Arabidopsis thaliana: one gene and its partners. The protein of the gene in region 2 purifies or fractionates together with the protein of the main gene of each other region. This does not show direct contact. Each region holds a gene or a part of one and is shown on either strand. Other genes may lie near its edges. The genes, in order: RRP4, AT5G38840, AT1G60080 and RRP45a.

Region 1 (6,613 bases), on a different chromosome or scaffold from region 2:
TTCTATTTATACATGCACACATACGGTACATGTTCAATTGAAACATTTTCCCTAACTAGACATGCCAATAAATAATAAGTTGGTTTGGTCCAAAAAATAAAATAATAAGTAAAATTCTACAAAACAAATGGTACAGTTTTGTTAATAACTAGATATTCATCCGGGTACACAACGTATTTATATTTTTGTTAACAAGTTAAAGATTTTATTTTAGTTAATAGTATTTATAAATGATAAACATATTAAGAAGTACACAACGAGCCTATATTTTTCTCAAAAATTTTTATTTTTTTGTTTTAAAGATGATTTATAGATATATGCTATTGCTTTTTTTTATGTATGATACATCTCGAAATGATTTATATAACTAAATTTCTGAAATTTTAAGTTATTTTTTGTATTAATATTGTAAATTTTGTTTAATTTTAGAATTTTACCATAGTATATCATTCCGTATTAATATTGATCCAAACCGTCTCACCATATATCCTAGTTCTGTGAAATTAAACATCATTTTGTCATTTTCTTATAAAGTTCAAATCTATATAATATTTGAAACTTCAAAAAAGTTTTAAATATATTGTATTATATCGTCCCGTATTAATATATTTTTAAATATATATATTATATAAAACTTCATAAGAGTTTTAAAATTATAAATATTAAAACGTTTTAAGAAGTTTTAATTTTAAAAGTTTTACAATTTGTAATATTTAACTTTTTTGGTTCTTCACAAAGGACAGAAATTGAGATTAATTTTGACACAATTAAAGCTCCGAATTCGCAGGGGTCAGTTGATTGATATACTCAAAATAACTGGAGAGAATGACTATCGCAAGATGAATATATTCAAACTTTCCTCAAACCACCTTCTCAAGTAAAATTTAAAAACATATTTTCAAATCAATGTAAAATAGAAACGTTGAAGAGAAAAACAACTGAAGAATGGGGGCAAAGCGCCAGAAACTTGTAAAAACAAGTAAAAGGATTGGCAAAAGTAAGAAAGCACACCACTTTAAAACTAACATTAAGCTTTGGATGATGATGATTCTTCTTCGTCATCTTCATCAATGTCCCAACTTAAATCTTCATCTTCCTCTGCAGCACTCAGACGTTTACGCAGCTCAGCTCTGTTTGGACTACCACCAGACCGACTCGTTTCCTTACCATCTATGCTACTCATATCCTCGATCTCGTCCCATCCCAAATCCTCTTCAGATGGTTGTTGAGTTGATGAAGAAGCAGCCACATCTGGTTTAGCTGAGTCTTGGGATGGAGCAGCCTCATCAGATTTTGGTTTGACAGAATCTTGGATTGGAGCCTCATCAGATGTTGGTTTGACAGAATCTTGGATTGGAGCCTCATCAGACGCAGGAGGAGCAGCATCAACAAATGATTTTTCTTCTGGAACTTCCTCACTATCAGTCTCCTTCTTTTCCTCAGAATCTTTATCTGTCTTCAAACCAACATTGCTCACTTCAGTCACTGAATCTGCACTTGTCACTTCATCTTGCGTGCTCACTTTAGCCACTGAATATGTACTTTCCACTTCATCTTTCACAGTTTCACTCACATCTCCACCACCCATACCATCATTCCCTTCAAGTTTCAACCTTGAAACATCTTTGGTAGCTTCAACAACTTTCTCGCTGCTCTCCTCTTCATCATCAATATCCCAGCTCAATTCTTCTTCATCATCCAGAGAGATGGCTCGTTTCACAAGATTAGCCCTTAAATCCTCAGCTTGCTTGAGCTTGTTAACCCTATAGAAATACCTAAACCAGAAGGTCTCGTGATCAACCATACTCGGAACGACCCTTTTATACACTCCTTTCATATCACCATTTTCCTCCAACAATTTCTCCATCTCCTCAGCTTTTCCATCCAGAGAAAACGCAGATTCCCACTTTTTGTAATCATCTGAATCCTCAGGCTCTTCACAGTAAGTGTTGAGATCTCCTTGAACAGCACGAATCTGAGCATCGAAACGACTATATGGTTTCGAACTGAAGCTATCACGACGACCAAAACTCTGACTACTATTGTTATCAGAAGAATCAGATTCATTACCAGCGGCTAAAATCGCTTCCTTACCTTGAGCAATAATCTCAGCCGTACCTTTTAGCACCGTGTTCCCAAGCTCATCAATCGCATGTCCCACCGTACCAAGCGATCCCTGAGCCACCTCGATCTCTTTCTTCAAACCTGTGCCAAATTCTTCGAGATCTCGTCGGTAGGTTTCAATCACGGATTCGGATCTGGTGGCTAGAGTTTTCATCAGACCACCGAAGCTCCATCCACCGTCGTCGTTAGATTCAGATTGCTCTGGATGTTCTTGCTCTGGATGTTCATGCTCTTCGCTGTGTTTCGGTGAATCGGATTCGGATTCGGTTTCTGGAGGATCTAGGTCTTCCGTGAAGACGGATTTGAAGAAATTCATAGCGTAAAGCTCAGATCTTACCAATCGGTACTCTCAGATAATTTGTTTGATCCGTGAAAGAATCAATTTGAAGAGTGAAGGATTCGAATTAGCGTCAGAAATAGGAAGATCACAAAAGACTTGAAGCTTGTCGCTGCAGAGACGTCTAATTTTTTTCCCATTTTTTTAATGAAGATAAATAATACTTTATTTGGCGTCAATTATCAGATTAATGGGCCAGAAGTTTTATAAATGGGCCAGAAGTTGGATATGTTAGTCCAACAAATAACACAAAACCCTAGAATTCATTCAAGGGAACTAACGTCAAGGTTTTTGCTCTTCTTCTCTCCCAAGTCCCAAACTCGTTTTGCATCGCCATTGTTGTGTTGCTGGAGCTAAATAGAGAGAAAGAGAGAGAGTGTCTGTGATGGTGATGAGAAAGCTACAGTTACCGTTGAGCCAGACGCAGAAGGTTAGGTTTGAGAGAGCAATCGAGCGGCTTCAATCACTGTCGTCGTCGGCTAACTCTGACGCTTCTGTTATCGTCACCGACTCTATTCCCGTCAACCATGACGATGCCTTCCTCAAGTAATTTCATCTCATTCTCCCTTCTGGATTGAAATTTTTGTCAAATTGCGTTTTCACGATTGGTTTTTTCATTAAAGGGGACATGGAACTTCCGAGGTCGATGGTGAGTTGCTCGCGACGGTCTGTGGAGTAGTGGAGCGTGTGGATAAGCTTGTCTATGTACGCACCTTGCGAGCCAGGTCTGTGATTGATCTTTGAATTTGTTTAGTTTCCCAGAAAATGTGAATAGAATGGACTCTCTACTCTGAGATTAAGTAGAACTGATGGTTTTGATGATCTACGTTTTAGGTACAAGCCTGAAGTTGGGGATATTGTGGTAGGCCGTGTCATTGAGGTAGATTTTTGTTTTGGTGTTTGGATTTTTGAAATCGGATTGAGTGAGTAACATAAAGGTTTCAATCACATTGCACAGTTACTGGATTGATCTTTACTTATTCAGGTTGCTCAAAAACGTTGGAGAGTGGAGCTCAACTTCAATCAGGATGGAGTACTGATGCTTTCTTCCATGAACATGCCTGATGGTATTCAGGTACAGTTTGATTCTTGATATTTTGCCATTTGGATGATTGCTTTTGGCTTCAATGATATAAGTTTATTGTTGTTGCCAGAGGCGAAGAACCTCTGTGGATGAACTCAATATGCGGAATATCTTTGTAGAGCATGATGTCGTATGTGTAAGTCCTGTGATTAGTAATGTTCCAATCTTTACATATCTTAACAGTTACGTCAACCTGACTAAAAGGGTTCCCTCTTTGGTTTGTTCAAACTCTTAGGCTGAAGTACGCAACTTTCAGCATGATGGTAGCTTGCAGTTACAAGCCAGAAGTCAGAAGTATGGCAAGGTTGGTTCTCATTTGGTCACATGCTCATGTAGTTATACCTTTCGCTAGTCTCTTCCTCTGAACATTGATTAATCCATGAATCGCTACAGCTCGAGAAGGGACAACTTCTGAAGGTCGATCCTTACTTGGTTAAGAGAAGCAAACATCACTTTCATTACGTAGAAAGTCTTGGGATTGATTTGATTATTGGCTGCAATGGTTTCATATGGGTTGGAGAACATGTCGAAGTGAGAGATCCTATGGCAATAGATGATCAGAAAGATGAGGAAATGATCTCATCCTCCTCCACAGGAAAAGAGCAAAGCCATATTCCACTCGAGACTCGACAAACCATATGCAGAATCGGGAATGCGATACGTGTCTTGTCTAATCTAGGCTTCACCGTGACACTAGAAGTAATCATGGAGACTGTTAACCTCAGTAACTCAAAGAATATTGACATACATGATATGCTTGGATCAGAGTTTCACGTTGTGGTAGCAGAGAATGAAGCTGAAAGAAGACGTACAAAGAGGAAAAAGTGAAAACTACCCCTTTTTGTCACTGATGTATCAGAGACTTGTAACGTGTATTAGATCATTCGGTCTTGTTTGTTACTCAGCTTCTATTGAAAGTTCGAATTTTAATCTGATTGAGATATGTAGTATGATGGATGTGTTTGATACTATTAACTGTACATCAGATTAGATTAGTCGAGTTATGTCTTTTGGAGACGGCTTTCTTCTTTCATTCATGAATTTATCGGTTTCGACTTTTGTAGCTGAAATTCGTTTTGTGAAAGGATCTACAGTTGCAGAAACAACATAGAAAAGATTCGCTGCCCTTTTTAGCTCGGAGAAGGGATAATTGGGAAATGACTAAAATACCCTCATGAGAATCCAAGTAATAACAGCGATTACCAAACCTCTTCTCTCATTCACGAAACAGTGTTCTACGGCCAATTTCTCTCGCTCGCTCCACACTCCCAAAACAATATTCTTCTTCTTCGATTTCTCACTCTCTGTTTGTCGCTACCGATCTTATTTCCCGCTATTTTTGTTCCGGCGCCGTTCTCCTTAAAGTCGCTATTGTCTTCGTTGAAGGTCAGTTTACGGCCTTTTTTAAATCCATTTTGGTGTATTCGTGATTGTTTGTGGGTTGAATGATCGTGCGATTATTTGGGGTTTTTAATTAATTTCGATTCAGTAACGGTTCTGAATTGCATTGCGATTAAGCACTTAATCAGAAAGTAGTACGCTTTAGATTTGAGGAATCTCTGTACATTTACTAGGCAAAAAGTTTACTTTTTTTTTTTGGCGTATTTCTGGGATTGCATTAGTTAGGCGATTGAATCACGTTTCTGAAAGCTACAACTAGGAGATGAAATCATCTCTCTTTTGCATGTATACAGATAATTTAGATGATTTTGGTCTAACATCTTTGATACTTTAATGGTTTTTGCATATGAAACAATTTCGTATCTATGTTCTACGCTTTTTTGTGTGTGTTTAACTTAAGTCGTTCATGTGTAATGGATTAAAAAGGTGATGAGTATAGTTCAAAAGCAAGAAGAGATGAATGGATGTGGTCTCAATGTTGACAAAGTAGAAGCCTTTACAGTGTCACCTCAGGAAAAAGGAAGGAAAAACAAGAGAAAGTTAGCTGATCCTTCTCAACCAAATGCTTCTTCCCTCACTGAATTCCCTCCATATGAGTTACCTTCGTTGAAACCTCAGAACCATTTGAGCGGAAATGGATCGGTTGGGGAAGTTTCTAATCAGCTGCAAGTTGAAGTGTCTGAATCTGTCGAATGGGATGACCCATTTGCCTGTCATCTTGAAGAATTGTTGTCGTCAAATTTGCTCACGCTCTTCCTTGATACAATGAAGCAGCTTATTGATTTAGGCTACACCGATGACGAAGTTCTGAAAGCTGTATCACGCTGTAGGCTGTACTGTGGAGGCAATAATCTTTTGTCAAACATTGTCAATAACACCTTGAGTGCTCTCAAGACTGGAGACGAAGGTGCTGGTTCAGGAGACTATGTGTTTGAGGATTTACAACAGCTTGTTTCCTATACGTTGGTAGAAATGATAAGTCTTATTAAGGAGGTCAGGCCGTCCCTATCAACAGTTGAAGCTATGTGGAGGCTTTTGATGTGCGACTTGAATGTCTTGCAAGCCTTTGAAGCTGAAGGCGATGGATTGGTGAGTTCAAGTAAATTATCTGATTCGGAATCTCTTGGTGCTGAATCTAATCCTCCAAAATCTAGTGACCCAGATAACCCAAAGCCTCCCCAATCCGATCCTCAAAGCAATCGGAATGAGCCACTCAAATTTGGAAACTTCCCAAATACACCGAACTCCAAAAAAACTCAGTCTAGTGGAACAACACCAGGAAAAGAAGTATGCTCGGGTAGCACTGTTTCTTGTCAAGGCATGAGAAGTACATCATTTACTCTAGTCTCTGATGAAAAATTGGTATCTTGTCGAAAAGGCCGTACTAAAAAAGAGATAGCAATGCTTCGGCAAAAATCATGTGTGGAAAAAATTAGGACTTACAGCAAAGGCAGTGGCTATAAGGCGGCAAAGTTTGCATCAGTTGGCAGCTTCCTTTTAGAGAAAAGAGTCAAATCATCTTCTGAATTTGTGCCAAGAAATTCTTCATCAAAGATAACAGCAGAGATTGGAGTGAAAGTTTCATTAGCTGAGGATAGCGGCTGTTTTGTAAGAAAGAACAGTAAGTTGGATTCACCTGTGGTAGTGGTAGATGCAAAGGGCTATAT
Region 2 (8,592 bases):
AAATAGAAAAATATACAAACTTAATGTAACAAAACGTAGTACGTTTTGAGATTTTTTAAGCTAACGCATTAGATGTTTAGAAATTAATAATATGTGTATACAATAGTTGTGGAATTAATCTCTCAATTTCAAATCTCTTACATATATTAATTGTAAACATATTATTTTAAAGAAACCTTATTCTTACTTATTATAAACGAAATTGTCATGACGTTATCCTATAGGAGAAATTTTTTAACTAGTTTAAATAACTACCAATTCTTACTAGAATATTAGGAATTAGTCTGGACTACATCCGGTTTTATGTTAAAAATTGATGTTTTTGAAATAGTTTACTAAGTCTTTTTATTTGTTTTTACGTTTTTTACTATGCATAGAAAAACGTCATGTGATGTATTCTTAACATTTTAATAGTATAAACTTAAATATAATATTAAATTTTCACCTTTATCTATCTATGTTTGGTTTTTTTCATTGTAATTTTTTTTTCTTTCTAATTTGTACAGATTGACAAGCCTCAATGAACATTTTTTATTAGTAAGAGATTGTGAAAATCACATAAAATACTTTCAAAGTAACAACCACATGCACTTTCAACCTTCATGGTTTTGAACTCACACAAACCATCAAAATTACGATTTTGTTACTTTAAAACTTCAAATGACTTTTGTGTTCGTGGATCAACATAAATCAGAAAAATTTCATCAACACAAGTATTTGTTTTCCGTTATAAATTAAGATGTGGTTTTAATAAGTAATTTTTGTTTTAATAAAAAATTAATTTTATTTATTTATTTATTAGTAATATATTTTAAAATTATGGAAAATTGAAAAATTCAGTATTATGATAACCAATTATATATTATAATAGTTATGGAAAATTCAAATTTAAAAATTTAAAAATTATTACTTTCTCTTTGGTAATCGATCGCTAACAATAATATTGTATGAAGATAACCAATCATATATTACGTCTAATGAATCTATATGTGTTTATTATCTTTTTTGTATCCCCTAAAATAAACCTTGAAATACCTAAGAGATTTTATTATTTTCAATATGCAAGGGAACATCTGCTAAAAAGGAGAGACGACCGTGATCTTTCTGGTAATTTATTTGTTGGTTTAAATGTGAAACAATATTTTTAGAACTTTTATTGTTTCTCTTTAAGACTATATAACTAACATGTCTTGTGAGCCTATATGCAAAAAAGTACACAAATGATACCTTAGATATAGAACATAAAAATACTCCGACTTAAAAATAAACAAACAAAGAAACTTGATTATCTTTGTTTTTTTTGGAGTTGTAGGCTTTGATATATAACTTCATCTTTACTATCACTATCATTTTTATCCTTTTTTGGCTTAGTCAACAAGAATTAGATATAAAAATCCGAAAGTAATATAATGAGGGATTTAATGTACCTTTTCAAACATTTTTGTTTTTTAATTTTTGTTGAGATAAAATTTATTGTTTAACAAAAACTTTAATTTACAATAATAAATCAAGAGTGTGAAAAGTTTGGTCAAAATTATAATGGCGATTGCTAATTTCTTTCATGAAGATTCACTGTTGAAAGAGATGTCTTGTAATTGTATTTCTTCACTGAACTAACAAGATAATAATATTATTACAAGAGATCAGCATCTTTAGTTTAAGTATATAACAAAATCATAATATTAAGACTTGTAACTAAATTAACGAGATTCTAACACTTGAACTCAATGGATTTTAATTTTTGCAATATGAATTATTTTGAAATTATAAGACATATAGCATATATTTAGATGTTATCTTACGATTTTTTGTAGCCAAAAAATAAGCAATAGATAGTTGGAAAAAAGCTCATATAATTCTTTGAGTATTTGCAATTGAGAGATTCATTCTCCAACTATCTTGTGTGCACATTAATTCTCTAATTTGGTGTCCAATCAACAAAAACTAGACTTAAAAAATTCAACGTTAGACAATAAAATTGAACGTTAAGTACTTCGATTACAAATAGAATAAATCCAAAGAATTCCTAAATCTTTTTCCTAAATTGAAACACAATTGAATCCTAGGCGATTTTTTCTCAAAATAAAGATCTATAAAGTTCAAATTTGCATAGTCTTCATCGATTTTATAGTGTGTAAATTTATAAACTGAGTACCAAAGATTCGTAGGGCGTGCGTATTGTAGAATGTGTAAGCTTCCAAATCGAAAGTCCAAGTTAAATACGAAATAGTAGAAACCGAAGGTGAAGAGAAAGATAGTGGAATCTGATGATTATGATGCTAGTGTTAAAAGAGATAATTGCCTAGTTATCGTCTTTTTTTTTTTTTTAGGAAAGACTTGAGAACTTTAGGTTTTGTTTTTGTTTCTAATCAAATCACTTAACGTCCTAATTAATTATGCGTTGATGTATTTTAAATTTTAAATTTGTTAATTCAACAATAAATGGGGATGTGTCTTTCATCAAGTGGTTAAGTCCATTTGAATCCGTTTTTCCTACTAAAGTTGAATTCTATTAAATCACGTTACTTTGCATAGTAGAAATTAATTATAAATCGACCTTCTCAAAGTAAATATGTCAAAAGAAAAAAGAATTCAACAATAAGTTTGAGAATTAATATATACACATGTTAGTTATGGAATTAATCTTTGAATCCGAACATAATAACAATTATGTCTCCCTAAAAATTGAAAAATTCGGGACGAACGGTACGGGCCTAACTGGGCTCTAATAGACGGGCCGGGCCGTTTGTACATCTATTTACCGTTTAGTTTATAGCATTTTCTACTGTATAAAGTAAACGGCCCAAATTACAACCCGGATTCAAACCCGTACCCGATCCGAGTTACAATTGCCGCCTCACTGATCTCTTTCTTCGGCCAAATTTCTGAATTCTCTAATCTCTCTGCAACCAATGACTACATCGGCGATGGATCCTCCTCCACCGCGAAACCCTAGCCATGATATCGAGCCTCCTGAACCAAACAGTACATCAATTTCCCAAAGCGATGAAACCTCAACGATGAATCCTCCACCTCCCAGAAACCCTAACCCACCTGATCTGAAGACAACGGAAGTAGTTGTAGAGCCCGAGCCAATAGAGGAATCCAAGGACGATTCCGTCACTGTAGACGCGGATAAACCAGTTCGTCCCCGAACCGTGAAGCAGAATCCTGTCCCCTACACTATTCCAGAGTGGAGTGGCCCTCCGTGTCACCAATTTCAGCTTGAAGTTCTCAAAGAAGGCGCCATTGTTGAGAAATTAGACGTGTAAGTAAACTCTTATGAATCTATTACCCTCTAAAGCTTTAAGGCTTCTGATTGAATTAGGAAGGAAAGTGTATGTAATTCGTATTTGTTCCCTTTGCAGCTATAAGAAAGGAGCTTACTTGTTTGGACGTGATGGTATCTGTGATTTTGCTCTTGAGCACCCTTCGATTTCTCGGTTTCATGCAGGTGATTGATTATCTTATTGTTCATACTTCATATCATAGTGTTATTACTTTCAATTTGGATTACATTGTTTTGTAATGAATCTTGCCAGTTATTCAGTACAAGAGGAGTGGAGCTGCGTATATATTTGATCTTGGAAGCACGCATGGAACAACTGTTAACAAGAATAAGGTGCTTTATTTGTGGCTTTGACATTTTTATTCTCTTGATTGAGCTTTGATGAACTGACTTATAGTAATTTACTATCTGTGTTTTATGGTTTTTGCAGGTGGATAAAAAGGTTTTTGTGGATTTGAATGTCGGTGATGTTATTCGCTTTGGCGGGTGAGTGTATATCTCTGTTAAGCTCATGATGATTATCTTGGTAGCTTTTGCTTTGATTTTCCTGAGCTCTTTCTTTTGTTTTTTATGTAGTTCGACTAGATTATACATTTTCCAAGGACCCTCGGACTTAATGCCACCAGTAAGATACACTTTTTACTTTACACAATCTAATTTTTGGTCTAGAGTAATTTTTTGGCATCTACCCTTAATTATTTGATGCACCTTTAATCTACTTGTGGTATTGATTTTTAGGAGAAAGACTTACAATTAATTAGAGAAGCAAAGATGAGAATGGAAATGTCAGAACGAGAAGCTTCACTGCGACGAGCAAGGCAGCAAGCATCCATGGCTGATGGTGTTTCATGGGGCATGGGGGAAGATGCTATTGAAGAAGAAGAGGTAATAATTACAACTTTATCTGTTAGTGTTGTGGACCTAAGTGTCTCACGTTTCCAGGATTTTTGTAATCAATCTTTCTGAACGACCTTTTTTTCTATAATTTGGACATGAAGGATGATGTTGAGGAAATTACTTGGCAAACATATAGTGGAGAACTCACTCCAAAGCAAGAAAAAACTAAGGAGAAAGTACTGAAACGGTTGGAGAAGGTTAGTATTTTTGTTCCCAATCATTTTTTTTCGATGCAAAATCATATATTTAGCTGGTACTTCTTAGTGACCTGAGTCTCTATATTTTTCTTTTTTTCCGTCTTTCTTTCTCCCTTCGGATGCTCATTATAATTTATAGACTATTCCAACTTTCCTTTATTCATTGTAGATGTTTTTAGACTACGTCCACTTTGCTTCATCTTTATAGGGATGTTTACTTCTGTGTAGATCGGCCATATGAAGAAGGAAGTAGCAGCTATTCGAGCCAAAGACATTTCTCAGGGTGGATTGACACAAGGACAACAAACGCAGATCGCTAGGAATGAGCAGAGAACGGCTGAGGTAACCACTTTGTTAATCTGAAGTGTCCTTACTACAATCTTAGTTTTGGCTGCAAAACTCTTTATCTGATTAGACTTTCCATTTCAATTAACTCTATGATAGCTTCTGGAAGAACTTGAGAACTTGGAAGAGACACTGAATGACAGCATCCGGGAAAGTTTGGGTGCCAAAACAGGGAGAAAACCCACCCACGGAAAGAAGAAAGGAATTGTAGAAGATGAGGAAGACTTGTCGAGGTAATCTTTCTCGTGTCTCAGCTATTTTTTCTCTTAGGGATCTCGTAGTATTCTTACCTGTGTTTCAGTTAAAGGCTGCTTCAAGTGTTCAACCTCTATATCTACATCTTCATGCAAAACTATAGCTTGTGTCTGTTGTTTCTGATTCTCATAAGGAAAATTATGTTATTTTCAGTGATGAAGATGACTTCTATGACCGGACCCAGAAGAAACCATCAACAAAGAAAGGCAGCGAAAACCAAACTGTAGAAACTGTTGATTCACTTGTAGATAAGAGAGACAATGTCTTGAAAGAAATAGAAGCAAAGAATGAACAGCTTTTAACAGAGAAGAGTAAGATGGAGACAGAGAATGTCACAGAGGTTACATCGGGAGACTCCCTTGATGCCCTTGATGCATACATGACCGGGCTTTCTACAACACTTGGTAATTTACTTTTTTTTTTTTTTGTTGTGTCGTAAAAATTTATATCTGCGCTGTAGTTCACTTCTAGGAAAAACTTCTTACTGATGTCAAGAAATTTTCCTCTTATTGTTGTCAGTGCAAGATAAAACCGCCCAGATCCAGCAAGAGTTGTCTACTCTACAGTCAGAATTAAGTAGGATCTTATACCTTCTAAAGATTGCTGACCCAACCGGAGAAGAGGTTAAGAAAAGGGAGTTGAAGTCACAAGAATTAAAAATAAAGAAATCTGAAACACCTTCCGTAGAAAAGAAGATCAATATACCTTTAAAACAAGCTGATCCTAATGAGCATAAGGAGAAAGAAGTGGCCAAAGATTTAGTGGACTCAGAAAATAAGCCTGAAGTAGAAAATAAAGCAAGTGAAACAGCTGAAGAAAAGAAGACCACTGTGTATGTTCCATCAAAACCCCAATGGCTCGGTTCCGCTGCAAATAAAGCCATAATTGAAGAAAAAAACCCTGAGATAGTAGCTGCTACTACTGATAGCACAGAGGATGCTGATGGGTTTGTCGACTATAAAAATAGGAAGAATATTGCTCTAACAGCCACCGCTGGAGTTGAAGTTGTAACAGGGTTGATAATAAGAAAACGTAAGCAAGAAGACAAGAGCGAAGAAGATGATGATTCAAAGGAAAAGCAAGCAGAGGTCATGGCACAGGATGCAGTTGCTCTCTTATTGAAACATTCTGTAGGCCATCATGTAAACGAAGAAGACAAAGAACTCAGTAAACAGGAAGAAAATAATCAAGGAAGTGGCCAAAGTAAAACGAAGAAGAAGAAGAAGACGGCTAAAAAAGTAGTTGGTCCTGATAAACCAGAATATCTGGATGAAACCATAGATTATGATTCTTGGGTACCTCCTGCAGGTAAAGTAACGCCATGTTTAGAAACACATTGAATCAAATCCCGTTTTAGAAAGTGGCTAATGAGTAATGTATTGACTTGAAATGTGCAGGACAATCTGGTGATGGGCGAACATCTCTAAATGACCGTCTGGGATATTGATCAGCGATAGAGTTTCCAGAGCAAACTATAGGATTGAGGAGAGGTAGAAGTGGCTTAAATATCTGTCAAGTTTTGCATCACTCAGTCTGGTGATTTCTTGGTCACACAGTACTTTGTAAATTCATACTCTAAACCCTGAGCTTTCCTGATTGATATATTTTTTTTTGAACGGAAATTTTACTTGTGATTTATCTCATAATTTATTTTATATTAGGGTGCGGCAATTAACAATACTTACGTCTGTCTCTCTCTTTCTCTCCGAAAAGTCAAAATGAATAAGCCTTATCATTTGATCCATTCATAGAGCTTATCCAAACGCAATCTCTCACGACCGTCTCCTATGGCTTCTGCTCGAACTTGGAGATACAACGTCTTCCCGAGCTTCCATGGAGGAGATATTCGTAAGACTTTTCTCTCTCATTTACGTAAGCAGTTCAACTCAAATGGGATTACAATGTTTGATGATCAAGGAATCGAGAGGAGCCAAACCATAGCCCCTGCTCTCATACAAGCGATTAGAGAATCTAGGATATCGATTGTGGTTCTTTCAAAGAACTATGCTTCTTCGAGTTGGTGCTTGAATGAATTGGTGGAGATTTTGAAATGCAAAGACGTAGTGATGCCGATCTTCTATGAAGTAGATCCATCCGATGTACGGAAACAGACCGGAGATTTTGGGAAGGCCTTCAAAAATAGTTGTAAAAGTAAAACTAAGGAGGAGAGGCAGAGATGGATCCAAGCTTTAATTTTTGTTGGCAACATAGCTGGAGAACACTCGCTGAAATGGTTTGTTTGTTTTCGATCGACTAATTTTGGGGCTTTCTTTTAAGTTACACATCACTTTATAACGCCTATCTGATATTTTGTTTCCTCTCTTGTTAGGGAAAATGAAGCGGATATGATTGAAAAGATAGCCAAAGATGTTTCAGATAAACTGAATGCTACACCTTCTAAAGATTTTGATGCATTTGTGGGACTTGAGTTTCACATTAGGGAATTAAGTTCTCTGCTATACCTAGACTATGAGCAAGTGAGGATAGTAGGAATCTGTGGCCCTGCAGGAATCGGTAAGACTACCATTGCTCGTGCTTTACAAAGCCTACTCTCTAGCAATTTTCAGCGAAGTTGTTTTATGGAGAATGTTAGGGGAAGTCTTAATATTGGGCTTGACGAGTATGGTCTGAAGTTAGATTTACAAGAACGACTTCTTTCAAAGATTATGAACCAAAAGGGTATGAGGATAGAGCATTTAGGCACAATAAGAGATAGGTTACATGACCAAAAAGTGCTTATCATTCTAGATGATGTTAATGATCTCGATTTGTATGCTTTGGCTGATCAGACAACGTGGTTTGGTCCTGGAAGTAGGATTATCGTGACAACAGAAGACAACGAGCTTTTGCAGAAACATGATATTAACAATGTCTACCATGTGGATTTTCCATCTAGAAAAGAAGCTCTTGAGATCTTTTGCAGATGTGCTTTTAGACAAAGCTCTGCACCTGATACGATTCTAAAGCTTGCAGAACGAGTAACAGAGCTTTGTGGTAATCTTCCATTGGGTCTCTGTGTCATAGGTTCATCTTTACACGGGAAAACTGAGGATGAGTGGGAAATTTTAATTCGCAGACTAGAAATTAGTCTTGATCGAGATAACGAGGCACAACTTAGAGTTGGGTATGATAGCTTACATGAGAACGAGCAAGCTTTATTTCTCAGCATTGCAGTCTTCTTCAACTATAAAGACCGTCAGCTTGTGATGGCCATGCTCCTTGACAGTAACCTAGATGTCGAGTATGGGTTAAGAACCCTCGCCAATAAATCTCTAATACATATATCTAGGAATGAGAAAATAGTGATGCATAACTTACTACAACATGTGGGTAGACAAGCCATTCAAAGACAAGAACCTTGGAAACGCCACATCTTAATAGATGCTGACGAGATATGCAATGTCCTTGAAAATGATACAGTAAGTATTCCACGTTCTAAACTTAATCATATTGTGAAGATTCACAGATCTTACATATTGTGCTCACGATTTCTTACCTTTGTAATATTTTTTCAGGATGCTAGAATTGTGTCAGGGATATCATTTGATATATCCAGAATCGGCGAAGTTTTTTTAAGCGAGAGAGCTTTTAAAAGATTGTGTAATCTCC
Region 3 (7,371 bases), on a different chromosome or scaffold from region 2:
TCCATAGCCCATGGAGTATTAGCATACTTGTTTAAACAAAAACAAAACAACTTAGTAACACTATTCTCTATCAAGACTAAAGAAATCTTAGCCTCAAAACTCCTACCTGAAAATCTAAACTTTTTCCAAAATCTGTCTCTCCCAAGAAAGAAAGAAGAAGAGATGATTAGCAAAAACAAGATATCATAAAAGAGAAAAAATCTTGTTTTGTTATTTAAAAGATTGAGTTTGATTCATACAATGAAAAGATACACCCATGTATGAGTAGAAATCCGGGTTTCCGGACAGAGAAGGTTTGGATTTGATGTTAGTGACAGAAGCCGCATGATAGTGTATGACTCCTACAAAGTCACATGAGCCTTTAACTTGTTCTGATTCTTTCTCAGAGAAAACTGGCAGTCTTGATCCAATGGTTCTTTTCATTGTATCAGGATAGTCTCCAAATAAAAGAGGTCTAAGGAACCTGAGTTTTAAAGAGTAAATCTTTTTTATTGAGATATGTTGAACAATATTTTGGAACAGTTTGTGCCTGACTCACCAGCCGACGTAGAAATCTTGGGCTCTTTGGGTTGCAGTGGCATCATCCTTGGAGCTTGTAGTAGGAATAAGCCCTAATATGAATAAGCTAAATCCTATGGAACCTCCCTGCTTATCCTGCATATTATATATACTTTATAGTGTGTTTCTTCTCACACATTCAAGAGAGGGTTATGTAATATATACCTTGTATTTTTGTTTGTATCGTCTTGAAACAGAGGCGTGCGCAAGCAACAAATTATGGCCTACAATATATGGTTCAATGGAAGAGTTCCCTGAAGAACAGTTTTTGCTCGGTTTGGAACAACGACCAGGCGGTGTATCCCCATCGTTGTAACCTCCTATAGAGAATATATTAGCCTCGTTGATCGTGGTCCATAGTTTGACATGGTTCCCAAACTCTCTGAAGCAAACATCTGCATAAGTAGTAAAGTCTTTGCTGCAATGGCAAATAACATCAACTTTTGTTATTTTATCTTAAACTACAAAATCTGTAAGAGAAAATAAGTAACGCCTACATCATTCTGTGGTTGAGCCATCCTCCATATTCATCCTCCAGAGACTGAGGATGATCATAGTGGTAGAGTGTAACATGTGGTTCAATTCCTGTAGTAAGTCTACTTAAACTCTAGTTAATACGAACTAAACCTAACTCTTGAGTCCTACCGTGGATATGAAGATAGGTCTTACCGTGGCTTACTAACTCTTGGATGAGGTTCTTGTAGAACTGTAGACCCTTTTGGTTAACAGGCCCTCTTCCATCTAATCAGATAATAAATTACGAACTGATCATAAATTTGATCCCTTCACTGAGCTATAACATGTTTAAGAAAACTTACTAGGTATTAGCCTAGACCAAGAGATGGAGAATCTGAAAGCATCTAAGTTAGTGTCCACCATCAACTTCACATCATCCTGTATAAATTCATAATGAAACTCAGGCTTGATGAATAAAACCTCATGATGTAGTCAGAGAAACAGAGAAGCTAAAGAACCTTGTACTTGTGATACCCATCACATGCTATATCTCCGTTACCTTGGTCACCTGCAATGTTAGAAACAAGAATCAAAGCACAAGAGTGACAAACTCTAATACTAATAATAGTTTGTGTTAAAATGAAAAGCTTACGAGAGTGACAAAGAGTGTCCCACAGGCTAGGTTTCCTTCCGTCTTCTGCAGCAGCTCCTTCCCACTAGTAGAGACCAAACATTTGGTTCAGTTTTGTTCAAAAGTTAAGAAAAAAGAAGCTCATAAATTGGTTCCAAACCTGATAAGCAGAAGTGCCGGCTCCAAAGACGAATCCCTCAGGGTAGTCAGATCTGCTGAAAACGTCGCTGCATTTCCCGGAGAAAGCAAAAGCAAGAAAAATGGCAAACAGAGCCAAAATCTGTTCCATTTCTCACACACACACACACTCTTTTCTTCGTTCCATGTTAGAATAAGTAAGTCCAGTAGCCATTTGCGTACCCGCTAGATATAGTTGTGACGTAGACATTAATGATGATGCAATTTAGATAAGAAACATATTGGGAAGTGTGTTGAAATGAATTATGGTCTTTATTTACTATGATAAGAAACAGATTACGCTGGATCGGAGCCCAGGTCTGACCAACCCAAATAACGAAAGAAACTAGGGGACCGGAAAACCATGCGGCTATGCAGCCCCAGCCCCACATATATGAGGGCTTTTGGGCCAAAAAAATATTTTTGGACTTTTTGTTACATTTCAATTTTTTTTGGGTATTCCTAAATTTTTGTTAATAGTATGGACTATGATATAATAACTTTTGAGGTATTAAAGTAAAAATATTTGGTCCTCTTATAAAGAAAAAAATATTTTATTTCATAAAACTTAATAATTATTACAAAGCATAAAATATTAAACATACATTATCTTAAAATTTTAAAATAGATGTGAAAAAAACGGAATAACGATAAGTTTTTCTGTTGATTGTTGCAAATTTCAATATACGAATACTTATAACGATGTTTTGAATTGAAATTTTCTACGAATACTTATAACGATATATATAGTAAAAGAGAAATTTCTTAACTTATAATTAAACACCATTAAGTAATGTATGGAGGATTAACAAAATTGGATATAAAACAAGAATGTATAATGTTCATTTTGACGCCATTTCTTCTTCTTCATATTTTACAATTTACACTAAACATTTTCCCAAATTCAGCTCATAATCAAGTGCGCCTCATATTTTCGCCAAATTCATCTAATTGAAAACCCAAATTTCAATATACTCATGTCTTGTGAAGCAAACAAATCTCTTATTTCGCATTTCTTTGGGCTTCGCAACATTATTGGGCTTTGTTTGGGGCCCATTTAGAATGAAGAAGTACTTTAGTTAAAAACTCAGATAAACCTAGCCGTCGTCACCGTCACCGTCTCCGTCGAAATCCCCATTACTTACGACACCGCGAGCTCTCAATCTTCTTCTTACACTCTATTGCTTGTGTTTCCTCTTCACTACAACAGTTTCGTGTACCAAAGGCAGTTCTTTCTTTTGTCCCAAGGTAAGCTTTGTGATTCCTTGAGACTGTGTTGATGAAGCACAGACTCAGAGACTTTTGGTTTATGATTCTCTTTATCTTTGTGACATGAAGCAGAGCTAAAGAAAACATGGGAATACCAGATGCAGCTCAAGACTTGTCGACAGAGATGGAAGTTGATGCTTTTAGAAGAATCTTCCCTCTTCGTTTCTTTGAGCGTCATCTCTCTGAATCTCTTCGTCCTGATGGAAGACAACTTGGAAAAGCTAGAGACACCATTGTTAATCTTGGTATAAACAATGAAGATTGATTCTTTTTAGTTTTTATCAAATTAAAAATGTCAACTTTATAGTGGTTTCTTGTGTTTGTTGTAGGACTTGTTTCAACTGCTGATGGGTCTGCTCTTGCTAAGATTGGTTCCACTGTAAGAACCCGCCTTAGTCGTTTCGATAGTATTCACATGATCAGCAATGTTTTGCTTACATAGTTGTTTCGTGTTTATAGACTATGCTTGCTGCTATTAGAATGGAAGTTATGACTCCTTCTACGGACTCTCCAGACGAAGGATGCATAGGTTGTTATCTCGTTGTCTTGTTCTCTATGTGGTTTGTTGTTCTTCTTTGGTGATTCATTTTGTGATTCCTTTTTGGTAGCTATTGAGTTCCATATGCCTCCAATTTGTTCTCCGACTGTTCGTCCTGGAAGACCAGCCGAAGCTGCTCCCGTTATTTCAAAGCGTTTGTCTGATACTATTTTAAGGTGTGTTTTGGTTTGATCTTTCTCTTTATATTTTCTCTGTCTCATTGAGCATCAAATACAATGTTCCTTCTAAAAGTGTTTCTTTTTTGTTCTAGTTCTGGTATGATTGATCTTAAAGAACTGTGTCTAGTTAGTGGAAAAGCTGCTTGGATGGGTTATCTGGTGAGTACTCGTTGGTCTTATATCGGTGCTTGTCCGTCAGTTGATTCACATCTATTCTTCTAGGGATCTTTCTCTTTGATATTTAACTGAGTTCTCTAGCATATATATGAACATTGTTGCTCTCTGAAATTTCTCATAGGACATATATTGCCTGGATGCTGATGGTGCTCTCTTTGATGCTGCTCTGCTTGCTGCTGTCGCAGCCTTCTCCAATCGTAAGTTCTTCTCTGTTCTCATCCTTTAGTTGGTTTCACAGCTCCTTTAGAGAACCTTTGAATAAAGCTGATTCTCAAGTTTATCAAATCCATTTCGAATATGAGTAAAAAGAGCAAGCCTTAGAGAACACTTAAATCTTGCTGAGTGAGTCATACCTGAGTAATATTCTTCCCTGCACAATAGCGGTTTGTTCAGAAGTTGTGTGATTGGTGTTCCGAGACAGAAGAATTTTTCCTCTGATGCATAAAATATCTTTTATATTGCAGTGCAAATTCCAATTGTTGCTCTGAATGACAATGGAAGAATAGTTGCCGTCACTGGAGAAAAAGATCAAGACAATGCTTTGATCACCGAGAAAGAAGCAGTGAACAAGGAGAAGAGAAAACTTACGCTTAAGAACATTCCTTTCTCTTTAACTTGCATACTTCACAAGAACTACATCTTAGCAGATCCAACAACCGAAGAAGAATCGATCATGGACACTCTTGTGACTGTTGTTTTGGATTCCTCGGATCAAATGGTTTCTTTCTACAAATCAGGAGGAGCTGCTCTCGCCTATTCATCAGCCATCAAGGTGAGAGTTTTAGCTTTCTCTTAGGTTAATCCACCACTTGATTTACACCGTTTTTTGTTTCTTATAAAGTTGCTATGCGCAGAGCTGTGTCGAGTTAGCAAGGAAGAGAGCAAAGGAGCTTAAGCAGATATTGGGAGAGATGGATATCGACTAATTTATCAGATGGAACGATTCCATAACATTGTTGAAATTTTGTGTTACATATTTTAATCAGATCACCAAGTTACCCATTTAGAGGCAAAGGAAGAAGCTCTTCACCATTTTTGTTCGATTGTGTTACGGTTTTGTTTGTCATATAACGACTTTAATTTAGTGCTAGTGTAAGTGTGAGATTATATTATCTCCATTTCAAACGAACCGAAATGTGCGTAAGCTGATTAATTTTACAAATGTTCAAATCAAAAGCAATTAACAAGTTTGTTTGTTGACCACCATCGCAAGTTTGTTTTTGATTAGGCTTTTCTGAATTTTTTTATGTTATAATGTAAGGGTATGTTAAAATATTATTCCATTTAAAAGAGGCATTGTAACAAGAACCATTCTGAATCTGTGAAAGAAATATTCCATACTAGACGAGGAAAGTCCTCGAGAGACTAATTAAATACTAAATAACATAAAATCATTCTGAATCTGTGGAAGAATCATATGCTAAGCGAGGAACTTCCTCCAAAGACATGAGACTCTCAGTGTGATTATGATAATAGCGGACCTCTCTTACATTTTTATGATTAAGCTTCCAGAATTCTTCGTCACCAATTCCTTCATATAATCATATTTGACCCTCCTTACTAGGGTTCTTTTTGGATCATAATATAAGACATAAATTGCTTCAGATGTTGTTGCAGCTGTATAAATAAACTCACCAGTGGATCATGAGTAATACCTCTCAGCCCCCAAGAAACTTTCCAGATCGGGTCACGTTGAGGAAATTTTCTAAGTGACCGTTCTTGTTTCTCTTCATCCTCCAAAACCCAAAATCATTTACCAGAGACGTCGTCAGAGCAAACCCATGCAAATTTTCCTTCGTAGTTGAGGAAAAATTTGCAAAGTAAATTATCAGCCGCTGATTTTCTTATTGTGTTGAACTTTTCGTACCTCACATCGAAGCTCATAAGGACTTTCTCAACTTCAGAACTATCATCGACTCCAAAAGGTATACTCGCTTCATAATACACTTCCCCGTTGATACATATACTTTGTATTAGTCCCTCGGCGGATAGAGGGACATGTTTAGGGGTATTTTGTGTCACTCTCCATGATTCTTGAGGTCCCAAAGTAAAAACAAGAGGATCTTGGTATCTAGAGCATGAGATGCACAAGACTTTATACTTACCCTCGACCGGATCATATCCTAAAGAGCTACATTCAAATGCGACTTTTGGTAAGGTAACATGTTGTCTCATGATTGGATTCCAAACTACAATATGCCCCAAGAATCTCCCAAACATATCAAGCCATGGACCGACTGGGACCATTCGTGATAATCAAATATGAGAGTGTCTTTCAGATAACGCTCCACATGTGGATAACATGATCTGTCCGGATTTTCATGTTGGGGCATTGCGCAGAAAATACGCTTGTCACTTGTTTTCACGCAGACCAAAAGACACAACCTAGTTGAAGACTGACTCGCGAACGACCTGATGAAATCTGGATGAGTGGTGATTGATGACCATAGCTAAGAGACCCAGTGGAACCTCGCAGCAGATTTAGCAGGAAGTCTCAAGAGTATATCAGGAATTAGATCAAGAGGAATCATCTCGAGAAACTTACAAAAACTCTCATCTTCTTTAGATTGTATACTTACTTCCCTATCTTCCGCCTCTTCCTCTACTCTATCCATTGGCGTCGATCCACTAGTTTTTTTTTTTAACCCTAATTTTTCAACCCTAAGTTTTTCAAACCATTATAGTAGTTGTCATCTCTGGACAAAAGGAACAAGTCAATGCATCGATCACCGAAAAGGAAGCATCGTACAAAGAGAAGAAAACTGAAGATTAAGAACATCTCTTTCTCTTTAACTTGCATACATCATGTTCAAGAACTACATCTTAGCAAATCCAACGACCGAAGACGAATTGATCATGGACACTCTAGCTAGTGACCATTGTTTTAAAAACCATACTCAAAATGTATTAAAAAAACAAATAAAAGAATTTTACATTTGGTTGTATTTGACAAAACATATCAACACTTTAGATTCTTGCGGTAAGTCAGAATTCTTACCAGAAGAATCTAAAACTTTGGTTCACTGATTCATGAGAACTTTGATCCGAACAATATTTACCTAGAAAACTGATCTCACCCTCATCAATACTGATCTTGATGAAAGTGAATCTTACAAAAACAAAAAAATAATGATAGATTTGCACTTAATTACTGATAAGTAGACTAAAAGAAGAACGATGAAATTATAGCAAATCAGCAACATGACCATCACGGAACTAGTTAATACTAAAAAGCATCAAAGTTGGATTTCTAAGTGATCTAACAAACGCTTTTTTAAAGATTAAATTCGAGATGAAAATATGGATGAAAAAGAATTAAATTGCTAACATAAATTGACCAAAATCGTAAGCATTGATCATCACCCATATCTTCATCTCAAATGAAT
Region 4 (6,706 bases), on a different chromosome or scaffold from region 2:
ATTTCCCATAGACTGTTAAAATATCCAGCAAACAGATTTTTCTTCACTTAACTAAATAGCAGTATTCTAGTACGTTTGCGGGAGGGACTGTCTAGTTTTCAAATGGGAGCTAGACAATGTTAGCTTTTAAGCACTTGGTGTATTCTGATTTTTTTTTTAGGTTAGATTGACAGGTGTGCCTGTGAAGTATATATACATTTTTTGGCTGTATCTCTCAAGCTTTTCGTTTACCACAGGTGTCATGAAGTGGAAGAGAACCGTGTGGAAAAGGAAAAGCATCCCGTCAATCAGAAGGAGAAGCATGTATTATATCCTGTAAGTTTCTACCGCGATAGGGCTCTAAAGTTTTTTGTTTTCCCTCCTTGTTGGGTTGGAAAATGACAAGGTTTTGGTCTCTGCAGGTTGCCATTGACAACATTCCTACTGAAATTAAGGACAATGATGACATCCTCGAGAGCGAGTTCTTTGATACTAGGCAAGCTTTCCTGAGTCTTTGCCAAGGTAATCACTATCAGTACGACACACTAAGACGGGCAAAACATTCTTCCATGATGATTCTCTATCATCTTCACAACCCAACCGTCCCTGCATTTGCAATGGCATGCGCCATCTGCCAGCAAGAACTTGAAACTGCTCAAGGTTGGCGTTGCGAAGTTTGCCCTGACTATGATGTTTGCAATGCTTGCTACTCAAAAGGCATCAACCATCCACATAGCATCATTAGCCGTCCATCTGCGACAGATTCTGTTGTACAGAACACACAAACTAATCAAATTCAGAATGCCCAGGTATTCCTTTTCTTTCAATTTTTTAGCTTTGATCATAGAATTGATGTCCATATGCATACATAATTATTCACTTGTCAAAGCTGGAAAGATAGATAGGCTCAACTCCTTTTAGGATTTTTACCAAAATTCCTTTCAAATATTGTGTAGCTAGATAAGTGTCGGTTAGAAAATTGAGTTTGCATCTCTTGGCTTCTCTTTTCCTTATTGCTAACTACGGTTTGGCTTGTTGGTACTGCAGTTAAGAGAGGTGCTGCTACACGTAATGACATGCTGCACTGCACAGTGCCAGTATCCAAGGTGTCGCGTGATTAAGGGTCTCATTAGGCATGGTCTTGTCTGCAAGACCAGAGGTTGCATCGCTTGTAAGAAAATGTGGTCCCTCTTCCGATTGCACTCCCGAAACTGCAGAGATCCCCAATGCAAAGTCCCCAAATGCAGGTATGTAATCTAACTACTTATAAAGCAAATTTTCAATTATCAGAATAGATTTGTTCAAGAAGGTGATGTGTTTAATAATGATCTGACAAGTTTATTTTTTGCAGAGAGTTGAGAGCTCATTTTAGTAGAAAGCAGCAACAGGCAGATTCAAGACGCAGAGCAGCGGTGATGGAGATGGTGCGGCAGAGAGCCGCTGATACAACGGCCTCCACTCCTGAATGATTAACAGACATGTTATATTCTCTGTCTATGGGGTCAAGGGTTCGTGCCTGAAGTAACGATCCAAATGGCAGGCGAATCAAGAAAGAATGAGATATTTTTGGCTGATTAATTTGGAGATTCAAGAAGCTAGTTTAGGAGAGCTCATGGGAAAATGAGCAGATGGGTCTCTTCCACAACTGCTAATTTAGGTTCACAACGAGGTACATAGATATTTTTTCTTACATGTATTCTAAAGTATAGACATGTGTATAAGGGAATTGTGATTTTGATTCAATTTTTGGTGATTCTGTTCATTGAATCCTATTGAATTCGACTACTGAATTTGATCTTAATTTACTTACTCTTTGATTCCTTCGTATTGTATATGTGGTATTTTTGGCAAAGCTATAAGCTAATAAATTCTTGATTTTCAATCATTACATATACTAGACTGGAAATGCAAGTTTTTACTTTATATTCAACTAGAATACTAGAGTTTATCCAGTTGAACGAAACCAAGACCCCGAAGCATTTTGGAGTCATTAGGCAACGAACCCATTATAATGTATATAGAAATGATCTTAGTACGGCGAAAGCCAATGAAATTAACAAAAAATACACTGCCAAACTAAAGTAGTAGAATTCACCTACTAGACATTCCATGGTGAAATGGATCAGACAGTTTGATGAAACTCTGGGAAGCTTCATAAGAGCATTGGTGATCGTCAGGAACCTTTTCTTAACATCCTTGCCTTCACTCAATTCGACATTAACATTGACAGTTTCAAGACGTTTTAAATTTGCCAAGAAATGCCTCATTCGTTTCAGCTCTTCCTCTTATCCCTCTTAGGGGTGCAAACGCAGGCGTCACCACGTTTGTCTGTAACTTCATGCACAAGACCGTGAAAGCAAAAAGAACAAGGCATAAGCAAATTCATGGGAATAATAACTTTAGCAAAGAAACAGAAGTGCGTGGTGATCGAACGAAATAGATGATACCTTGATGACTTAAGTTTCTAGATTTGGAGAGTAGTTAAGGAGAAGTGGCTCCACTTACCAGCCTCTTTCTTTGTTACACTCAAAAGATAAAGTAACGAGGTTGGGAAACACCGGGATTGATTTACAGCACGAGTAAAATACCTGGGATCTATTGTCACAACCAAAACAAACATATACACAAAATGAGACTTTGCTAGCTAGCATGCACTTCAAATAGAATCAACCAATAGAAGAAGAAGACGTAGCAGAGACTGACCTCAAGAGAAACAGCGGACAAGTGAAGGGTTTTAACATTGCTTATCCCTGCAACCAGATTCGTAACATAACCAACAATATCCTCTGTATCACCATCCACATAATAATTAATAGTCATCTGGAAGACGCTCCCATGAGTGTAGCTTCTACAAGGGAACCCAAATCAACCTCATAATCTTCTGCGGGATAACCAGAATAGTCAAGATAGACAAGACTGGGTGTATCAAACAGACGAAAACCCTTGTGACCGTTAGGGTAACGGGGCCAATGATAAGAGCTGGTCAGTCGTTTGATAAGAGAAGGACTAGACACGGTCCCTCCATCAAACAAATATTATTAAAAGGAAAAAAAAAGAGATAAATGAAAATTGGTCCATAAGACAAATACTGAAAAGACGAGGGGTTAAATTGAAATAAATCCCTCCTCTTCTCTGTTCACAAAATCCTCGCGCCACAAAACCCTAGCTGAACGGAAGAAGGTTAGTGGTTTAATCTCCCTCTGGGGAAAGCTGCTTATGTTGATTCTCTAGGCTTTTTTATATTCTGAAAGTTTTGATTTTTTGTATCTTGTTTTGTTTCTCAATCATCAATTTGTGGTAGTAGCTCACTAGCAAACAATGGAGGGGAGGTTGAATAATATGTGGAGGTTGACTGTGAATGAGAGCAAATTCGTTGAATCTGCGTTGCAATCTGAGCTCAGAGTCGATGGTCGTGGCCTTTATGATTACCGCAAGCTTACTATTAAGTTTGGCAAGTGAGTTTTTCTCCTATTCATTGATTATGTTTACCTTTAAAGCTTCAATTTTTGTTGATGCTTTTGATCTCTGGTTTTGCAATGTTGTTACTGATGATTAATTTAATCTGTGTGAGTTTTCGATAGGGAATATGGCAGCTCACAAGTTCAACTGGGTCAGACTCATGTAATGGCTTTTGTGACTGCTCAGCTAGTACAACCTTACAAAGACAGACCTAGTGAAGGCTCCTTCTCTATCTTCACCGAGTTTTCTCCAATGGCTGATCCATCGTTTGAGCCAGGGCATCCTGGTGAATCTGCTGTTGAGCTTGGCCGTATTATAGACCGTGCTCTACGGTAAACCTCTCTTTTTGATTTGATGCTACAAACAAAGTTTTTTGTATTGATGGTCTTTGTGTTGTTGGTTGCAGAGAAAGCCGTGCAGTAGATACAGAGTCGCTTTGTGTTCTAGCCGGAAAGCTGGTTTGGTCTGTTCGCATTGATCTTCACATTTTGGACAATGGAGGGTAGGTCTTCTTCATGTTTATCCAAGGTTCTTGTTGTGAGAATGATCTTTTATGTGTATATTGTTACTCACTCTCTTACAGGAACTTGGTTGATGCTGCTAATGTTGCTGCCTTAGCCGCACTCATGACTTTCAGGAGACCTGATTGCACTGTAGGAGGGGACAACAGTCAAGACGTGATCATACATCCACCCGAAGTTAGTAATTCATATTTTTTTTTTTTCAGTTTAGTTGATGAACTTAATAACTAGAGAGAAGGAAGTTCTCAACTTCAACTGTTTTGTACTATATTTGGTTTCTTTTACAGGAAAGGGAACCACTTCCTTTGATAATACATCATCTCCCAATAGCCTTCACGTTTGGATTTTTTAATAAAGGCAGTATCTTGGTAAAAAAATTGTGTTTTGTTTATTGATAATCTTGTTTACTACGTTTTTGTTTGCATCTGAGATTACAAGTGTGTTGTGTTCTTATGCAGGTGATGGACCCAACTTACGTTGAAGAAGCTGTTATGTGTGGGAGAATGACTGTGACAGTCAATGCCAATGGCGATATATGCGCAATCCAAAAACCAGGAGAAGAAGGCGTGAACCAGAGTGTAATCCTTCATTGCCTGCGTCTTGCTTCTTCAAGAGCTTCTGCAACAACAAAGATAATTAGAGATGCAGTAGGGTTTCGTAATCCGGAGCGTTTTCCTTTTTAGATTGATTTCTATTGATTTAAGGATTTGATTTTGTTGTGCTTTGTTTTCATGGTGTAGGTTGAAGCATACAACCGTGAGAGGAGCTCACAGAAGGTGAAGCGGCATCATACTTTGGCTAAGTCTGAAGTTTTGGGACCTATTGTAGTTGTGTAGGAAGAGACATAAATAAAACATTTGCTGTGGTCGTCGATTGTAAATAAAGATTTTAGTTGTAGAAATCTTATCAGCAACACTAAGCTATAAAAACGTCGATATGATCAAGACATGTTGAGACTTCTCGCACTTAAATAGATGACTAGTCTCAACTCTTCCATTTATGTCTTTCTGAAAGAAAGTTGAAACACAACATATTGAGACTTCTCAGAATTAATATGCATATCCTGAATAACATGTACACTATAAGCCAAAAGCTATGTTGGAATAATAGTAGTAACCATGATCATGAAACAGCCTCCTCTCACTGTTCGTTCTTATGAGGTCGGTTAAAGCTTTTTTTACAACAGAAGAGAGTCTTTGAACTGTTATTACAACGAGGTGTTGTCGTCGGGGAGAAACAGGTATCTGAAACGAGAATCGAAGGGGAGTATTCCGCAGTTCCGTGAAGCGAGAAGGCTTTGTCTTCTCTGAGAGATGCATTGCTCCACAAAAGCAGCTTGATGTGGAGGAAGGTACCTTGATATCCAGACCCCCAAGTTCGAATCCTCCACCAAACTCTTGGCATAACAATGGAGCATTTTGGGTAGTAAGAGCTTCCCTTTGCTGCTCAGCCCTACCGATGCTTGTATGAAGTCCCTTTGTGCTTCTAGCATCTCTTCCTTCACTCCTTTCGCAGAGTAGATCCTCACCTGCAAGACCTCTTCGTGTTAAGAAAATGACTGTTTATGACTTTTGGAAACGCAGATTGTTACTTAGTTAAGTTACCGCAGGTGAAGAGTACATTCCACAGCTTAGAGCAAAGCCGAGAAGAGGTTCATGTGTATCAATGCTTGCCCTGCGCTGTTCTTCTGATACTTTCATCTTGTGGATGGCAAGAAGCAAAGCCTGCATCAGCAAACAGAGCAAATTGTTTAACTGACTCTGAAAGAGGAGAAAAGAAGAGCCTCACAGAAGAAGCTGGGTTCAAAGCTCATACAATTTGTGGCCTGTGCATAGGCGGTTTCATCTTCAGTATCACATATTCCATTGTCGCCGCAGTATATGAGTGCCCTCCAACTGTATAGGCTGCCTGTGGATCCAGTACAAAAGGAATCAAATAAGGCAACAAAGAAATGAGAAGAACAAAACACAACCTTCTGTCAAGTGATATAACCTTTTGCATCAACGAGAAAAGCTTCAGGTCGCTTTTTGGGACGCCATAAGCCAAATAAGCCTTTGTTCACATAAACAACCATAACTCTCATAAGCTTTCGTTTCATTCAGAATAGTTCTTGATAAGTATAGGGGAAAAAGGAACTTACATGCATTATCAACGCGTTATAAAGGTTAATCCAGAAAGCAAGCTTCTCGTTGCAGCTTAAATGAATAGGATTTACTCTAGCCAATTGCTCAACCAGTGTCCTGTTCACAGAATCAACCATGGTTATGTAAACTGAGTCTTACTGTTCAATCGGATTGAAACACACAAAAAAGGAAACTCTATTACCTGAACTTCTTCAATGCCCCGGAAGCATACTCCAGCTGTTTCTTCCCTACAGACATCCAAGAAACCTCGGATGCCAAACTGTAGTTCCCAATCTCCGCCCAGCTTAACTTCCCACGAACTCTATAAGGATCAAAGACATCTCCTGTGGCCAAAACATTGGCGTTATTTTGGATATCTATTTGTGGGCTTTGCACCCATGAGGAGATCATTGACCGTTCTGTTGAAGGCCACCAGGATGCTGAGCTTGATAGATGCCCGCGAGGTGATACTGGTGAGAGGTGGCTTTCGTTTGAGGAAGCTTTTGAAGTTGCTGTTGGATCAGCAAGAGACATGAAGATATTCTTCATACATCTCACCATTTCTTCAGATAATAGATTAGGTTGATCCCACAGGTACTTAGGTGGCATTCCTCGAGGTAGCTT

Evidence for each region.
Region 1: the proteins of AT5G38840 (region 2) and RRP4 fractionate together in Arabidopsis thaliana (co-fractionation; one large-scale study listed by BioGRID). This does not show direct contact.
Region 3: the proteins of AT5G38840 (region 2) and AT1G60080 fractionate together in Arabidopsis thaliana (co-fractionation; one large-scale study listed by BioGRID). This does not show direct contact.
Region 4: the proteins of AT5G38840 (region 2) and RRP45a fractionate together in Arabidopsis thaliana (co-fractionation; one large-scale study listed by BioGRID). This does not show direct contact.

What each region holds. Positions count from the first base shown.
Region 1 is NC_003070.9:821,807-828,419, forward strand, and holds RRP4 (ribosomal RNA processing 4), read left to right. Parts: upstream 1-2,710; 5' UTR 2,711-2,846; coding exon 2,847-3,007; intron 3,008-3,084; coding exon 3,085-3,186; intron 3,187-3,295; coding exon 3,296-3,341; intron 3,342-3,446; coding exon 3,447-3,536; intron 3,537-3,615; coding exon 3,616-3,681; intron 3,682-3,780; coding exon 3,781-3,849; intron 3,850-3,938; coding exon 3,939-4,373; 3' UTR 4,374-4,593; downstream 4,594-6,613. Other genes in the region: AT1G03350 (BSD domain-containing protein), read right to left, coding at 1,028-2,440; AT1G03365 (RING/U-box superfamily protein), read left to right, coding at 5,376-6,613. UniProt on the Arabidopsis thaliana protein: Non-catalytic component of the RNA exosome complex which has 3'->5' exoribonuclease activity and participates in a multitude of cellular RNA processing, maturation and degradation events.
Region 2 is NC_003076.8:15,548,417-15,557,008, forward strand, and holds AT5G38840 (SMAD/FHA domain-containing protein), read left to right. Parts: upstream 1-2,826; 5' UTR 2,827-2,912; coding exon 2,913-3,268; intron 3,269-3,368; coding exon 3,369-3,454; intron 3,455-3,542; coding exon 3,543-3,622; intron 3,623-3,719; coding exon 3,720-3,775; intron 3,776-3,865; coding exon 3,866-3,914; intron 3,915-4,027; coding exon 4,028-4,174; intron 4,175-4,287; coding exon 4,288-4,383; intron 4,384-4,611; coding exon 4,612-4,725; intron 4,726-4,827; coding exon 4,828-4,961; intron 4,962-5,136; coding exon 5,137-5,387; intron 5,388-5,502; coding exon 5,503-6,291; intron 6,292-6,380; coding exon 6,381-6,430; 3' UTR 6,431-6,661; downstream 6,662-8,592. Other genes in the region: AT5G38850 (Disease resistance protein (TIR-NBS-LRR class)), read left to right, coding at 6,771-7,216, 7,313-8,402, 8,499-8,592.
Region 3 is NC_003070.9:22,150,145-22,157,515, reverse strand, and holds AT1G60080 (3'-5'-exoribonuclease family protein), read left to right. Parts: upstream 1-2,872; 5' UTR 2,873-3,070; intron 3,071-3,163; 5' UTR 3,164-3,176; coding exon 3,177-3,336; intron 3,337-3,420; coding exon 3,421-3,470; intron 3,471-3,550; coding exon 3,551-3,620; intron 3,621-3,699; coding exon 3,700-3,805; intron 3,806-3,900; coding exon 3,901-3,967; intron 3,968-4,106; coding exon 4,107-4,182; intron 4,183-4,449; coding exon 4,450-4,757; intron 4,758-4,839; coding exon 4,840-4,911; 3' UTR 4,912-5,286; downstream 5,287-7,371. Other genes in the region: BGLU4 (beta glucosidase 4), read right to left, coding at 1-26, 107-138, 255-463, 539-654, 724-976, 1,056-1,143, 1,228-1,299, 1,377-1,452 and 3 more.
Region 4 is NC_003074.8:4,153,048-4,159,753, forward strand, and holds RRP45a (ribonuclease PH45A), read left to right. Parts: upstream 1-3,006; 5' UTR 3,007-3,159; exon of another isoform or gene 3,160-3,283; 5' UTR 3,284-3,297; coding exon 3,298-3,434; intron 3,435-3,560; coding exon 3,561-3,770; intron 3,771-3,844; coding exon 3,845-3,940; intron 3,941-4,021; coding exon 4,022-4,136; intron 4,137-4,246; coding exon 4,247-4,327; coding exon of another isoform or gene 4,328-4,354; exon of another isoform or gene 4,355-4,417; coding exon 4,418-4,606; coding exon of another isoform or gene 4,607-4,642; exon of another isoform or gene 4,643-4,699; coding exon 4,700-4,795; 3' UTR 4,796-4,917; downstream 4,918-6,706. Other genes in the region: HAC5 (histone acetyltransferase of the CBP family 5), read left to right, coding at 237-315, 402-788, 1,027-1,226, 1,331-1,448; AT3G13000 (ubiquinone biosynthesis protein (Protein of unknown function, DUF547)), read right to left, coding at 5,167-5,487, 5,564-5,683, 5,775-5,867, 5,952-6,011, 6,100-6,199, 6,285-6,706. UniProt on the Arabidopsis thaliana protein: Probable 3'->5' exoribonuclease involved in the regulation of cuticular wax biosynthesis. Can perform exosomal functions and partially complement the yeast rrp45 null mutant.